4 linked regions of the Danio rerio genome follow. The protein of the gene in region 4 purifies or fractionates together with the protein of the main gene of each other region. This does not show direct contact. Links are inferred from orthologs where the notes say so. Each region holds a gene or a part of one and is shown on either strand. Other genes may lie near its edges.

The links.
Region 1: the proteins of nup153 (region 4) and ran purify together in Homo sapiens (affinity purification with mass spectrometry; 5 studies listed by BioGRID and IntAct, counting the BioPlex papers as one, with this or other methods). This does not show direct contact. The link is inferred for Danio rerio from reciprocal best matches to the Homo sapiens genes NUP153 and RAN.
Region 2: the proteins of nup153 (region 4) and kpna2 purify together in Homo sapiens (co-immunoprecipitation; 4 studies listed by BioGRID and IntAct, counting the BioPlex papers as one, with this or other methods). This does not show direct contact. The link is inferred for Danio rerio from reciprocal best matches to the Homo sapiens genes NUP153 and KPNA2.
Region 3: the proteins of nup153 (region 4) and nup50 purify together in Homo sapiens (affinity purification with mass spectrometry; 8 studies listed by BioGRID and IntAct, counting the BioPlex papers as one, with this or other methods). This does not show direct contact. The link is inferred for Danio rerio from reciprocal best matches to the Homo sapiens genes NUP153 and NUP50.

Annotation. Positions count from the first base shown.
Region 1 is NC_133189.1:25,978,903-25,983,513, reverse strand, and holds the start of ran (GTP-binding nuclear protein Ran), read right to left. Parts: upstream 3,061-4,611; 5' UTR 2,929-3,060; exon of another isoform or gene 2,332-2,928; 5' UTR 2,289-2,331; coding exon 2,256-2,288; intron 1-2,255. UniProt on the Homo sapiens protein: GTPase involved in nucleocytoplasmic transport, participating both to the import and the export from the nucleus of proteins and RNAs. Switches between a cytoplasmic GDP- and a nuclear GTP-bound state by nucleotide exchange and GTP hydrolysis.
Region 2 is NC_133178.1:24,115,601-24,118,406, reverse strand, and holds part of kpna2 (importin subunit alpha-1), read left to right. Parts: intron 1-2,265; coding exon 2,266-2,529; intron 2,530-2,616; coding exon 2,617-2,806.
Region 3 is NC_133179.1:71,848,709-71,853,433, forward strand, and holds the start of nup50 (nuclear pore complex protein Nup50), read left to right. Parts: upstream 1-1,581; 5' UTR 1,582-1,693; intron 1,694-4,725. UniProt on the Homo sapiens protein: Component of the nuclear pore complex that has a direct role in nuclear protein import. Actively displaces NLSs from importin-alpha, and facilitates disassembly of the importin-alpha:beta-cargo complex and importin recycling.
Region 4 is NC_133194.1:48,924,052-48,928,080, reverse strand, and holds part of nup153 (nuclear pore complex protein Nup153), read left to right. Parts: intron 1-863; coding exon 864-916; intron 917-1,024; coding exon 1,025-1,145; intron 1,146-2,180; coding exon 2,181-2,330; intron 2,331-2,434; coding exon 2,435-2,533; intron 2,534-2,611; coding exon 2,612-2,693; intron 2,694-2,778; coding exon 2,779-2,877; intron 2,878-2,965; coding exon 2,966-3,535; intron 3,536-4,029. UniProt on the Homo sapiens protein: Component of the nuclear pore complex (NPC), a complex required for the trafficking across the nuclear envelope. Functions as a scaffolding element in the nuclear phase of the NPC essential for normal nucleocytoplasmic transport of proteins and mRNAs.

The sequences.
Region 1 (4,611 bases), on a different chromosome or scaffold from region 4:
ACTGCCGTAGGTTATTAAAGACATAAACCCCTCACTGCACCACAGCTACGCTCCTTCAGCAGACCTCCTCATTCCTGCAGCACAAGAGCTTTATGATTATGAGCGCCAAAAGTGGCGGATCTGTTTGGCAAAATATTTGACTCTGGTCACCGCATCCCTAATGACTGTTTGGCGAAATTTGACTGCATATCAAACGACTGAAACAATATAACTAGAGAAATCTCCACTGTGCTGCTGAGTGAGAGCGCTTCTCACTGAATAGCACAGCAGCGATGACGCAAGCCTGCCGAGGCCTGATTGTGGTGTGAGTGCGGGCCATCGGGGGAGACGGGAGAGGGGACAAGCGTGCTTTGGCACGGTTCGAGGCAACTGTACCTAGTGTGAGTATGGCCTTAAAAAACAAGACTTATTAATGTTAAGGGCCTGACTGGATTGGAGGGTGGAGGATCACGATGCCGGTGTTGTCTATCGGCCCAACCCTAATACATAGCAGAGCTTGCAAAGAGTCTTTTTTTCCGACAACACGAACGTTGACAACATAACTTACTGGAAATCCAAAATACTTCCACACCGGCTACTTCATTGAAAGAGGAGAGGGTTTAAGTTCTGTCGACGGGTCTCCTGCATCTGCAGTTCAACAAGAGTGTTTCTTTTTTTTGGGGCTTGGCAACATCGACGATTCCATTTTTTGATTCGATAATCGAAATGGAGCATGAATTTCAATCCAATTAAAATAGAAATTGTGACACCCTTATAACGAAGAGAGAAATACAAGTGGGGATATCATTCCTACCGGCAAATGTGCATTTGATATCAAATACGAAAGTGAAAGCATGCCAAAATATTAATGAGCCGTTTATTCAATAGAAAAGCTGACAAATTACATCTGATCATTTTCTTCATTTTAACTGTACAATTTTTTGCAATAGGCCTATTGTTAAATGTTTTGTTTATTTCTGCACTGACACCTCAAAAGAAAGCTCAAAATTGATCTGCTTCCAACAGGTTTTTAAAAAACATTAATTCAATAAATAGAATTTTACAAAACATGACAACTAAAATGAAGCTATGAGAAAGTCTTACCTCTCTGATTTATATTTGGTGATAATGTGGGCATTAAAATTAAAAGATAGATAGATAGGCGGAAATATATACATCTATCCATCCATCTCCCCCCTCAAATTTAAATACATCACAATTGTATTTCTTTTAACTGTCAGTTGTATTTAAAGAAAAGTTATGATGAAGCAATGTTTTGCTTTTGACATTTAAAATTTGTGGCTAAAAATGAGCTATTAACTTTTTTTTATGGGGCCAGTGAAAATTTTGGCAGGGCAAGTAAAAATCCTAACTACTGGCTTGATTGGGCCAGTAGAAAATTCTTAGCACTGTATAACCCTTTTACAGCTTGAAAAGAAATTAAGATATGGATTTTTTTTTATATCCTATAAAATACATCTCCCACATGTAAAACAGTGATGGTCAATGGGGTAACATTATACAAATGTAATAAATTAAGATCTAAAGGTCTAATTGTTTTTAAAATTTAATATACAGCCACTACTATCAATAAAGCTTCATTTTATGTCATATTACATCTACATTTCAACAGGGCAAATTAATTTTAAAGGAAATCAATCCTGGGTTTAGGAATCAATAGAAAACACTAGAATGCAAGTATGAGGCAAGAAAAACTATCGGGCAGTTTGTGGAGGTTAAAAACTATGAGAAACATCTAATTTAAAACTATACCATTAGGAATAATGGCAATAACTACAATAGCAATGGTAATTTGTGTCAACAAAAGTTTCAATATTATCCAACTATAATAATATTGCTAAAGGGTCAAAATTAGAAGATTCTGCCCTGGTAAGTCTTGACAATATTAAATTATATAAAGCAATGTTGTACAGATTGTTGTAATAGACTATAATACAGAAACTAAAATAACAAAATATAAAACAAACTGGTTAAAGACAATTACACAAATTTAACATCATTTACTAAATAACTACAGTTTATTAGTAATAATAAACAATTATATGTAGTATAGTATGTAGTAAAAAATATCCTTAAATTCAGCATCAAGTGGGTTCTCGCGCTTCAATGCACTCGTTATCAGCAAGGAGTCTGCGAATTCACTAACGTTACGAAACAGTTTAGAAACTTAATGTGATGAACATGTAAACACTCAAACTGGGGCTTTAATTTGTTACCACAGACTGTCGTGCCTTTAAAGTGAAAGTGTAAGTTACCTTAAACTGAACTTGTGGCTCGTTCTCCGCCATCGCTGTACTGTGAGTGTGTGTTGGTCTTTGTGCTGCAGTCACTCTGCGGGAGAGATGGCGGGACGGTTAGTCACATCACACAAAGGCCGCACCAATTCCAAATAAAGGCCACGGGACCACAAGATTACTCAAATAAACCTTTTCGAGCCAATATTAAAAACAAAACCGCTTTTAGAACTTAAAACAAACAAATGTAATGCTCATTGAACAACACGCAGATCTAAATAAGGGGATGCGCGCGAACACACGAGGCCGCTGCCGCTGAAGCCTAAACTTCACAATACAGCGGCCGCCCGAAGGCCTCAAACAGGCCGTCAACATGAAAATCAACAAATAGCGAATTTAGTAGTTTTTAGAAATCCAGAAATTAGTTTAGTTGACAGAACTTAAAACGAAGTAAGTGTTGTTTCCGCGGCTCCAAGATCGCGCGCTACCAACAACTCGGGATGGCGCTACGACAGAGATGAGCCATGATGAAACACTCAAAACTGCACATCTGCGGCCAATAAAACGATCAGACTGACTTACTAGCGCCTGGGCACTGCAGAAAAGCTTTCAGATGTGTTTAGTCGGCGCTGAAAATAAAACGTGTTAGTGAAAAGAGTGTGTGATGAGATGAACGCAGTCGTTCCGCACTCACCGGTGTTGAAGTGATCGAGGAAGAGAGCAAATGGCTGCGCCCGCGCGGGATTCAGCATGGCTCACATAAACGCTTCCGCCCCACCACGTGACCTGCTGCTGCCGCGGGACAACAGCGTCATTTAGTGGCAGAAGAGCGAACCTTTTACAGCATATCACTCAATTTTCTTCGGCTTTAGTTCTTACTTTATCATGAGTGAAGAGCGAATAGATTAAAGGCATAAGTCACCCAAAATGAAAGTTCTGTAGACATTTATTCACTCTTTACTTGTTTCAAAACTAACTAGTTTTCTTTTTTAAATAAAAACCGACATTTTTAAGAAAGCTGGAAATCTGTAACCTTTGAAAGAGATGTGTGCACAATTTCCAAGACAAAATCCTGCCCCAACCAGGCAATGAATCTTCTGCCCGCTGAATAAAACGAGAGATAAAGGTAAGGAGCAGGTTGCCCTCTCAAGTGTCACCTTTGAGGACAGAAACACTGAAGGTAAATACATACAATTGTTACATTATGAAATTCAATTTGCACGTACGTACTAAAATAGTAATACAGCATGTTTTGGTCGATGTGCCCCTCTTTAGATCAAGATTCTTTAATAGATTGTTCTCTGAGTCATGAACTTCAGAAAATTGAGCAGAACGTCCAGCTCCAATTCCATTTCCAGCAAGACATCCAGCTCCAGCAGCCCGTCCAGCTTCAATTCCAGCAGCCTGCCCTTGATGATCAGCAGGTTCAACATCTGGCTCAAGACTTCAACGGTATATTGACCTTTATATGTATTTTGTCAACAATGTTCATGCTATGTTCCAACATCATAATATGTGTTAGCTATCTACCGGTACTTAATGTTTTATAGAAGCCTTTTTTCCTAAATCGAGTTGTGGAGACATGTGAAATAACCCTAAGGAAAGTTGTTCCTAATACATATGGAAATATTCCTTTTTATATGTTCACTAATGATAACTCCAATTACTTTACTTTTTGTAGGTGACATTTTGGGCTGCTATAAAATTGTACAAAAGCTTGGTAAGGGAGGACACGGCACAGTCTTCAAAGCGATTTGCTTGATGGACGGTCTTGAGGAACTACATTTTTACTCACTACATCTTAGCTAAATGTTTCTCTCACTGCCTGTTCAGGTCCTTTTATTGTGTCACGTTACATTGAAAACGTTTAATAAATGTGACTAATTCACCAACATTACAATTGTTGTGTTTTGTTAATCAGGTGGCATTGAAGGTTGTTTTGAAGAGGAACAATATGGATTATCTCAGCATTGTAGTTCTCTTGATTTTTAGTTCAAGATATGTTAATTATAGCCAAAAAAAGAATTTTCAAACATCACTGACAACAAATTTCTATCTTCTACAGCCTGGTCATCCTACTCCCCTTTCATTAGAAGTTGCACTAACAATACTTGCTAACGAAGGATTCCTCAGATCATCCAGATGCTGGAGTGGCAGGAGCTGCCAGACTCTTACATCATGGTTTTGGAGCACCCCTTACCCTGCAAAGACCTTTTTGACTTCCTGGAGCACTATGAAGGAACCCTCAGTGAAGACGTGGCACGGTACATCATGTGGCAGGTAGTGCAGGCTGCCCACATGTGCTGTCAAAGAGGAATCCTCCATCGCGACATTAAATTAGACAACCTGCTAATCAACAAGGACACCTATGAAGTCA
Region 2 (2,806 bases), on a different chromosome or scaffold from region 4:
AGAAATGTATTTATTGCAATATTACAATCTAAGTTGGTTAAAATATTGTTGTTGTTGTTATTATTATTATTATTATTATTATTATTATTATTATACCAAATAATGTGAAGCTGATTTAGACCAATTTACAGATTGAATATCGCAAAAATTTGTCTTTTTATGACTTTTTAAGAAGTTTTAAAAATAACTATTCCTCAGATAATTAAGTATCAAAAACATTTGATAATTAGTGAGGACAACATTTGTAATTAAATAGTGAAAGGCAAATTCCGAATGTTTCAGAATTTGCGCATGAAAATGTAAGAAAACCCCAGACAAATTCATTATATTTTCATGCACAAATTCTGAAACATTTGGAATTTGCCTTTCACTATTTAATTACAATTCTTGTCCTCCGTAATTATCAAATGTTTTTGACCTGATTCTCAAGCAAATAATAAAAATTATCGGTTTAATTAGTTTTGTTCTTGTTTATTTACACTCTAAGCTTAATAGATATTATTATTATTATATTAAATTTATTATAAAGGTATACACTTAAGATTTACTTTAAACCTTGGGCTCTTTTCACAATCCATGCGCAGGGTGCAAACGCATTAGGGCATGTCAGAATCCACTTTTTCTTAAATAATGAGGGAAAAAATCCGCTTTGCGCCATGGCGCATGGTCTGAAAGGGTTCAGCTTATTTTATTAATGAGTTATAGATGTGTTTTGAGAATAAACCAATCAGAGTCTCATCTCTCATTCCCTTTAACAGTGCGTTGCATCGCACCATAGCGCATTTGCTATTTACATGACGTAAGTGGAAAAACTGAGCGTTTCACTAGCAAGAAAACAGTTAAACAGAGCATCTACAGCGCGAGAATGAGAAATGAGCCTCCTTATTAACTTTCACGTTTGTGGATAGGGAAACGTGTCATACGCACCGACATCAATTAGCCTATAAGTAATTAATTTAGTTTAAGCGCAAAGATTAGTTTTAAAACTATTTCTAAAATCTGTTCTAATTTCCAGCAAACAAATAAATGAACAATAATAACGAAGTGTGTTCAAAAACCTGAGTTATATCCTAATACACATGCTACTCCCATATGGTCTGAAACCTGACAGGTGGGCAAATCTAAGCTCGTTTTTAATTAAGCAAATATAAATATGCATATAATACTGCTAAAAATAATACATTATACATTAGCAAATTGTCATGAATGAACTGAAAAAGCCTCCCGGGATGAAGGCATGAAAGTATAGTTTTTATATTAATTTAGGCTTGAAAATAATCTTTTGTAATATTTTTAATCCTTAATATGTATTATATTTTAATTTTTCATATGTAAAGATTTTTGCGTATTGCTCTACATTTTGTGTGTATTAAGCAGTGTGTAAGCGAGGCGCACAACTAACGTGCTCTGCTGGACAATAGACCGGCTTTGTTCAGGTCTATAGAACCGACTATTATAGTTTCTCAAAATAGCAATGCACCTCAACACGCCATCTTTTTTTAGATCAGAACGCCTATGGGCGCACATATGATTGTAAAATAAAATAATTGTGTTTTTTTTTTTTTTTTTTTTTTTACAAATTTGATGACTACAAATTGCTAATTGCAACTTGTAACATTCTCCCTATAAATTTACATTTAGAAAACCTATTAATGTATTACATTTTTTTTTAATCCGTCTATAAGCTTCTACTGGTCCAGAACTCAGCTGCCCACATCATCACTAAACTCTTTTTCACCATATTACCCCCATTTTACAAAATCTGCACTGGCTTCCAATCCAACCTAGAGTCGATTATAAAATCGTCCTGCATACTTTTTAAGGCTATCCATAACCTCACACCAGCTTATTTGTCTGATCTCTTCCATATCATCACTCATTTCTGCTCCCTTAGATCCTTCTCCTCCATACACTCTGTTCCCTCTGCCAAAGCTATTTGGCTATTTGTATTTTATAATCTTCTCTTTTTTTTTTTTTTTTTTTTTTTTAAATATACTGTGGGTTTATTTTTAAATTATTGAATTGTGTATATTTGTTGTACAGTGATCATGGGTTCTTGAAAGGTGTATTGCATAAAACGTATTTAAAATTATTAGCTAAAAAAAATTAAAATAAAGGTTTTTACATGTATTATCTCTAAACCTCAAACAATGTTGTTTTTGGTGTTCAGGACTATTTGTTTTAAACTGTAGTGAGCATGCATTACCGCTAGATGGCGTGAAAGCTGTGTAGAATTACCCTGACCAGCCAGTTTTTCTTCTACAGGCTGGTTACCTGAGGAACGTCACATGGACCTTGTCAAACCTGTGCCGCAATAAGAACCCTGCACCACCTCTGGAGGCTGTGAAACAGATACTACCCACACTCATCTGCCTTCTGCAGCACAGTGACAAAGAAGTGCTTGCGGACACCTGCTGGGCCATCTCTTACCTGACCGACGGGCCCAATGATCGCATTGAGGTTGTGGTGAACGCCGGTGTGGTTCCTCGACTGGTGCAGCTACTGGCATCTGGGGAGCTGTCCATTGTGGTAAGTTGGTGGAAAGTAGTGAACTCTTGAGTTATACGTTTAAAATGGTAAATTTAATAATAACTTTTTTATTTTTTCCTGCCACAGACCCCCTCACTACGTTCTATTGGTAACATTGTCACTGGCACAGATGAACAAACGCAGGCTGTGCTGGAGGCTGGTGCTCTTCCCATGTTCCCAGCTCTGTTGCGCCACCAAAAGAGCAACATTCAGAAGGAGGCGTCCTGGACTCTCTCCAACATCACGGCTGGCAGAGACTATCAGATTCAGGAGGTCA
Region 3 (4,725 bases), on a different chromosome or scaffold from region 4:
CCCAAACACTGAGCTGCTTAGTAATTTTCTCCATAAATAAAACTTTAATCAGAACTTCAGCAAGGGTTAGTCATTGGTGGTCAAGCCGCAGTCGCACTGCACTTTTCCCCTTACTGATTTTCATTCATACGCATGCGAAGGCAGGCAAACCGGAAATGCAAGCTTGTGTGAAGTTTCGCAGTTCACTGCATTCCAATTTGGCTTAGTGAACTTTGACCTCATCACATGAATATGTAAGACCAATAATAGATCGAAACGTGACCTATGTACAAAAATGTGGAGCGATTGCTTGCATTGTCAACGTCTAATCATTTTGTTATATCCTGCCCCCTTTTGCAGTGCTGTACAACAGAATTGTGAATGCTGAAACTCTAGTGTGACCAAGGCTTTATTTGCGATATGTGAATGTTTCCTACTTTCATACAGTTTAATGCAGTAGATATGTTTTTCTCATCACGGATTTTACAACGATTTTCAATCAGGTTTAGGTCAGGGCTTTGTGCTGGCCGTTACATTATTCCAATGTTTTCCTCATCGAGAAACTGCTTTACCTGTTTTGCTGTGTCGGAAAATTGATTGCTGATTAGGCCGAGAAGGTACCGCATGTTGTCAAAGGAGCTCTTTATAAACATTTGCATTTATTTATTTTATATTTATTTATCATAATTATTATTTATGCCACATAGCTGTACAAGAGACCAAACTACTGTAATTAAGGGATTTAACACCGTGAACCAGATTACCTGCGATACCAATATCGGCAGTATTGAAAGTAATGGTGGAATATATGAATTGCAGTACATTATTTCTGAATATTATATTCAAACTTTTGGGTAGAAATGTGCTTTAAATGACATTAAAATAATATTAATTCGATGAAAAGAGTAACATACTGTAAGTCATGAGTGTTTGCAACCACAGTGCTGCAAAACTAAACTAATGTATGATTTTTAATACCCCAAAATACATTAAGTAGTTCTAAATCATTCATTTTAAAATTGATTTTATGCCAAAAATCATTAGAATATTAAGTAAAAAATTATGTTCAATTAAATTATTTTGTAATTTTCCTAATGTAAGTATATGAAACTGTAATATTTGAATGCTAAAAACTAAATTTAATTAACTTTGAAGGTAATTTTCTTTAATATTTAGATTTTTTTAAACCTTCAGATTACCGTATACCAGCCAAATAAATCCTATCCTAACAAACCAAACATCAATGAAAAGCTATTTTAGTCCGCATTCAGATGGTTTCAACCCAAAATATCCCAGCGTAATGTAAAAAAATTACACTTATGAGTGCTTTTGTGGTATATAGGGTCCAGCCTGATCTCACGAGAAAACGTATTTTACCGGTTAGTGGTTTAGAGTTCAGTCGTTCAGTTGAATCATCTACTCAATACTGTTAATATTAATATTAAGAACGTTTTTTTCGGGTGTCTACAGAACTAAACCAACGTAGTTGTCATAATAACTTAGTTAAACCCTTTGGAGTGTGGTTTTGTATATGTAATTCTGTGTGTGAACACTGGGTGGAGTGCGGTTCTCAATAACAACACAGGAAGGCAAACGGGAAGCGTGTGACAGGTGTTTAATTAAGGACGCATCGAGACACTGTTGACATTTTTGTACCGTGATGGAAACTTGAAAAGGTCCTTTGTGTTTCACGAGTGGATGATACAGTCACACTGTGAGTAGGAGAACTGAACTGTATAAACTATATACAATCTGAAACGCAGTGTGGTGGCAAAATGTATATAAGTGATTGAGGTAAAGTTGGTTTTATCAATCGGACTTCCTCCTTAATTGGGAAATTGTAGCAGACTGTCAAAGTACAACATTGTTCACTTCACAGTCAGTTTAATAGTGCTAATGTTGTTTTTGGGGCAGATAAATGCCATATTCAGACGATAGTTTATTATACCCTGTAATATTCAAATTACTGTGGTAAATAGCAACCGTTAAATGAACAAATGTGCGAATTTAAAACCAAATTTTGGCTACCGTTAAACTGACGAAATATTTATGTCACATCCTGCTAAAAACAGCTTACCAGCCTAAGATGGTTGGCTGGTTTATTGAGGTAAAGTTGGTCTTATATTCGCACATTCAACTTTATAATATAATTAATAATAAATAATAATATTATATAATAATTAATAATATAATTTCCTAAAAGTATTATTTGCAAACTCTAAACAGGGAAATAAACAGCAGCTAATGACTATCAAAGTACAACAGTGTTCACAGTCAAATAAACAGTGTTGATGTTGTTGTCAAGTCATACTTGCATGCTAATTCCAATCGAATATTCAAAGTAACATGGCAACCCTGCTGAAAAATCCAGCTTAAACCAGCCTAGGTTGGTAGGCTGGTTTTAGCTGGTCGACCATGCTGGTTTTGGAGGGGTTTTGGCCATTTCCAGGCTGGTTTCCAGCCATTTCCAGCCTGGTCTTAGCTTGTTAGGCTGGGAGATGACCAGCTAAAACCAGCTTGACCAGCCTAGCCAAGCTGGGAGTCCAGCCAAAACCAGTTATGTCCAGCTTAAACCAAGCTGGTTTTAGCTGGATTTGGCTGGTAATTATTGAATAATGTGCAGGTTAGTGTATACTAATATTGGAAATTATTGGAAACCAGCCTGGAAGTGGCCAAAACCCCTCTAAAACCAGCCTGGTCGACCACCAGCCAACCAGCCTAGGCTGGTTTAAGCCGGATTTTTCAGCAGGGAAACAAAATAGAGACTGCTAAATGAAAGAATGTGCGAATGTAAAACCAACTTTACCTCTATCATTCGTTCATGTAGCGGATATTGTTTACCGTTACTTTGTATATTCGATCAACATTAGCATGCGAGTATGACTTCTAAACAACATTAGCACTATCTGATTCACTGTGAGCAATGTTGTACTGAGTCATTGGCTGCTAATATGATTTCCGTGTTCAGAATTTGCAAAGAATACTTTTCTGAAATTATATTATTTAGGAGAATGTCTGAATATCCGAATATAAAACCAACTTTACCTCTATGGCTGGTTTTAGCTGGCTGATCAGTCTGGTTTTAGAGGGGTTTGGTCCTGGTTGATGACGTTTTTTTTTTTTTTTTGCTATTTCTGCGGAGAATTTGGGTAAAAATCTGTGGATTTCTAAGGAATTATTTTGGGAGTATCATAACGAAAACCTTAATATGCTGTAACAACATCTTAACAAGCTGTACAACATCTACAGATTGCTTTTCAAATATTGCAGTGTACGTTGCAAAATTTAAAATTGGTTTTAAATAAAAAAAAAAAGACTAAATATATGATTTTTAGTCAACAGATCAGACAATAAAAACTCTGAACGGTGTTCAAATAGAAAGAGTTAGCTTTTATAAATATCTAGGTATTTGGATTGATGAGAGATTAGCCTTTGATATACACATTGACAAGTCACTGAAAAAGCTTAGGCCAAAGTTAGGTTTTTTATACCGGTCAAGAAACTGTTTTCCTTATAAAGCCCGCAAAAAATTAGTAGAGAGTACATTTCTGTCTATAATGGATTATGGTGATCATCTCTATATGCACGCAGCTACCCTATTAAGAGAATTAGATTCTGTTTATCATGCAGCGATACGCTTTGTCACAGGGGCAGACTCACGGACGCATCACTGTATTTTGTATGATTCCTTAGACTGGTTATCTCTATATCAAAGGAGAAAATGACGTCTGTACTTATTTATTTTAAAGGCTCTTTTAGGTAAATTACCATCCTATATTTTTAATTTATTAACATTTCACACCAACAACCAACACACTAGATCTGGTTCATGTATTCGTCTGATAGTTCCAAGGGCACTATCAGAACTTGGCAAACGTGCTTTTTCCGTTTACGCTCCCAGGGCTTGGAATGACCTGCAAAATCAGCTCAATCTTGACACTCTTCCGACTCTTGAGTACTTTTAAACATCTTTTGTACAACATTTTAAAGGACACCTGCAATTGTTTGTTATGAGCTGATGTTTTTAAGAATGGTGATTTTGTCATTTTGTGGTATTGTTTGTGATTTTTATATGAAACTTTATGTGCTGCCTGCCATCTTGACCAGGTCTCACTGGAAGAAGAGACAGTACTGTCTCAATGTGATCTCCTGGCTAAATAAAGGAAATAAATAAATAAATATGTGAATTAAAAAATCATATATTTTTTTTTAACTTTTATTTAATCTTTAAAATGCAACTCCAATTAGATCCACTCTATTTGGTAAACAAAGCAAGTCTCTCATATAATATCTCCACTAAAAGACAGAACATATTACTGTACAAAGTGCCTTGTGCATAAATCAGATGAACATGTTCATATTAGTCAATATTATTACTGTACTTAATTTAAAAACTGAATAAACATAGATGTACACACATTTACTCAAGTAAATAAACAGAATTAATGATGGACTGAAAATATGCGGAAAATCTGTAGAAACTATGTCCAGCTTAAACCAGGCTATTCAAGCTGGTCATTTTTAAGCCTGAAACCAGCCTGGAAATGGCCAAAATAACAGGCTGATCAACCAGCTAAAACCAGCCAACCCGCCTAGGCTGGTTTAAGCATTTTTTTTTCTCATTAGGGTACACCTTTAATGTCACTTTAAGCTGAATCTTGAAAAAAGTCAAATATTATTTTTTATTTATTACTAGTCAAGTATTATGTGCTGTCATCATGGCAAAGACTAAATAAATTATTAAAG
Region 4 (4,029 bases):
TGAGTGCGCTTTCTAGCACAGTGTGTCATACATTACAATTCATAATGTGTGTTTGGATGTGGGGATCTGAGTTCTGTTGAGCAGATTCCTAAACGCTGCTGATTGGCCATGATGTTTACCAGGGTTTACACAGGACATTAAAAGCGTTGAAAGTCATTAAGTTATTTTTGCTAAAAATCAAGGCCAATAAATGGCTTTTAAAAGCATTCAATTTCATCATGATGGGCATTCAATTTAAGTTTTAGAATAAAATTGTATTGGCAGCATATTTTGATTTATAGCCTCAATAAAAACATGTTTTAAGTGCATTTTCAGAGTGATTAACAACACAGCCGGTGTTGGAATTGGTTCCAACCTCTGAAAATTTGTATGACATGGGCTATCATGCTTGATTCCTTCAAGGATGGGATTGTACCACATTATAACAGATTTTCCTGTTTTTGTAAGTCTGTGGGATGCATATATATAATATATAATGTTATGTAATATATTATATAATATTGTGTAGTCCTATAATATGTGTGTATCAGGGAGCTGCTGTCAATATGCAAGGTAATGACATCACTTTAAATGTGCATTAATGCATTTTCTTTACGTGCACTACTAGGTTTTGAATCCCATGACCATACATACTCCATGTATATAAATAGAGCTGCGAGACTGGATGCACAATGTATAAAATGACATATATGTCTTTACTCTCTATATTTAATCAGTCTTACTGTCGAGCATACATTAGCTGTGTTTATAACTGTGTGTGAATTTCAGTAGTAATTAGTACTGACGTTGGAACTTTTAACAATCCTATTTGAATCCTCCCCTTTTAATTGGTTATAATATTCTTTCTTCTGTATTTCTTTAAGCCGGTAAGACAATCCCCTCCGATTTCAGAACCCGCCCAGGCTCCCCCTCCAAGGTAAGAGTAAACGGTTTGTTTTTATTATTATTAGAATTATTTACTCTTTGCCATAGTACCTGGGATTGTGTGAAGAAATGCTCAACATGTCAATTTCTTTGTTCACAGCACAAGTACTTTGTCGTACCCCTTGTCCAGCACCCCGGCTGCTAACAGTGCTGCTCTAGGAGGTGGCAAAATGAAGAGAGAAAGGGCCATCAGACCTTCATCCAAACGGCCTGATGATGAGGTCAGAGATATTCTGTTGCTTGTATACTAGAGTTGTTGCAAGAAATTGTTTCTGTTATTTGTTTATTTTCAAAAATGCATTGCTGTTGTTCTTTTTAATTGATTCTCAGCTTTGTTTTTAACAGCAGATGGCACCATATGCTTTACAAACAGATGTACTCTGCTTCCATCCGATTTCAAATACCTGTTTGGCCTAGAACTTTTATTAGTAAAGTTAGGGAAGGTATAGGCGACTACAAGTGTTCATAGTAAGCTGTTTACATTAATCGCAAGGCAAAAAAGCCAACTTGAATGACTCATTCAAAAGCACACGCTTAAGCCTAGAACTCCATCTGCAATTATAAATCAGCCTAGAGCGCCGACTGCTGTTTAAAAAGTAGCCTAGAGTGCCGTCTGCTTTTTAAAAGCTAGCCTAGAGTGCCATCTGTTGTTATGAACTAGTCTAGAGCGCCATCTGCAGTTTAAAATCAAGCCTAGAGCATCGTCAGCTGTTAAAAAGGTAACTAGAGTGCCAATGCTTTTTAAAAGCTACCATAGAGCGCCATCTGCAGTTATAAAACTAGCCTTGAGCACTGTTTGCTGTATAAAATCAAGCCTAGAGCATCGTCAGCTGTTATAAAAAGGTAGACTAGAGCACAGATGCTGTAATAAAATAGCCTAGAGCGCCATCTGCTGTTTAAAATCAAGCCTAGAGCGTCGTCAGCTGTTATATATGCAGTCTTAAACCAGCCTAGAGCGCCATCTGCTGTTTAAAATCAAGCCTAGAGCGTCGTCAGCTGTTATATATGCAGTCGTAAACCAGCCTAGAGCGCCGTCTGCTGTCATAAACCAGCCTAGAGCACCGTCTGCTGTCATAAACCAGCCTAGAGTGCCGTCTGCTGTTATAACCCAAGTTCAGTATTGCATTGCTTTTTGAATCTCAGTCAATTTTCTCCAAATGTTTTGTGACCGCTCTTGCTTATACACTTTTGATCAGAACTTGTTTTGAATCAGTCCACCAGAATGCTTAAATGCTCATACGCGTTTCTTCTTCCAGGTTGCTGAGGAACCAGATCTGCCGCCAGCTTCTCTTCCCAGCAATTTCACTTTGCCAACATTTACTTTCTCCACTCCTCCTCCGACCTCCTCGCTCAAATCCAGCACAGCACCACTTATAACCGTCTCGGAGGAGCCAGCAGCGAATAAGGTATTGCTTTTCTTTGAGCCACCAGAATCAAACTAAGAAGCTTATTACCGTTATGGTGGATGAATAATAGGTGCTAGGATCACTTTTGTTATTTGTTTAATCAGCAGCCGGCTGCACCATCCACACCACCATCTGCCCCCTTCACGTTCTCTTCACCTATCGTCAAGGCAACAGCTGCCAGCCCTCCATCTTTCTCTCCATCGGTAAGTCTACTTGCTTATATTATACTTCATAGGCTTCATATAATATGAGCGTTAAATAATGATGATTCTTCCCTGTAGTCTGGATTCACCTTCAGTGCACCTACTATGAAAATGGGTCCCTCTTTCTCCAATGGGAAAATTGTTCCATCAGTAGCACCAGGTAAAAGCTTGTTTTGCACTGCAATACGGATGTTATTTTTATAAGTACAGTTATGGTGTTAATATTTCTTTCCTGAATGTTTCAGTCAAATCAGTGGTCATTGAAGAAAAGGAGTTTGAAGGACCATTCAAACCTGCAAAGGTCTTAAAACAGGGCAGTGTGTTGGACATACTTAAGGGTCCTGGTATGATTTGTTTTTCCTCATTTATTTATTTCTCTCTATGAAACTTTAGTTGAATGCTGTTTATTTATTTGCCTGCTTTCTCTTTCAGGATTTGCATCCCCCTCTCAGAATTCGACTGATAAACCTTTACAGTCCACATCAACAACAACATCATCTCCATTTTCTGGTTTTGGTGACAAGTTTAGGCCACCGGCAGGATCATGGAACTGTGGAACTTGCATGTTGCAAAACAAGCCCTCGGACAAAAAGTGTGTGGCTTGTCTCGCACCACAGCCCAACACAGACTCTTCTAAATCGGACAGTAAACCCGCAGAAGCTCCTGCAAGCATCAGTTCCCTCTTTGCTCCTCCGGCTGGTAGCTGGGAATGTGACACATGTCTGGTCAGTAACAAACCGGACGCAGTTAAATGTGTAGCTTGTGACACAGCCAAACCTGGAACTGGAGTAAAATCCAGCCTGACTCTACTGGCTGCCTCTGAGTCTTCATCCTCTACAACCACCACAGCAACCACCACTGCTGCTGCTTTGACTTCAACTGGACTGTTAGGATTGGGGGACAAATTTAAGAAGCCAGAAGGGGCTTGGGATTGTGATGTGTGCATGGTTCAAAATAAGGCTCAGGATCTGAAATGCGTAGCCTGTCTGACCGCTAAACCAGGTAAAGTTTCAATTTTACAGTTTTATATTCCATCCCTATTTCTGCCTGATATTTCAATACAACATTTGTTTGTATAGCACATTTAAGACAATTACAATCGACCAAAGCGCTTCACAGAGTATAAAAATGAAGATGATTCTCTGAAGTAAAAAATCATTGCACATCAAGGCAGAAAATTGTTAAATGACAATAAGAGAGAAGTTTTAAAAGTAGAGTTTAATATAGATAAAACAGAGGCCGTTCTGATGTGCACTGGAAGACTATTCCACAACTTAAAGGGATAGTTCACCTAAAAATTAACACTTTTCATGATTTAATTTCCCTCTATTTATTCCAAAGCTGTTTGAGTTTCTTCTGTTGAATGAAAAAGGAAAATATATATATGTTTTAAATGTTGGAACCTGGTAGCCATTGACTTCCATAGTATTTGTTTTTGCTACACTGCATATCAATTGTTACTAGGGGTGTAACGGATCACAGTTGATCCGTGATTT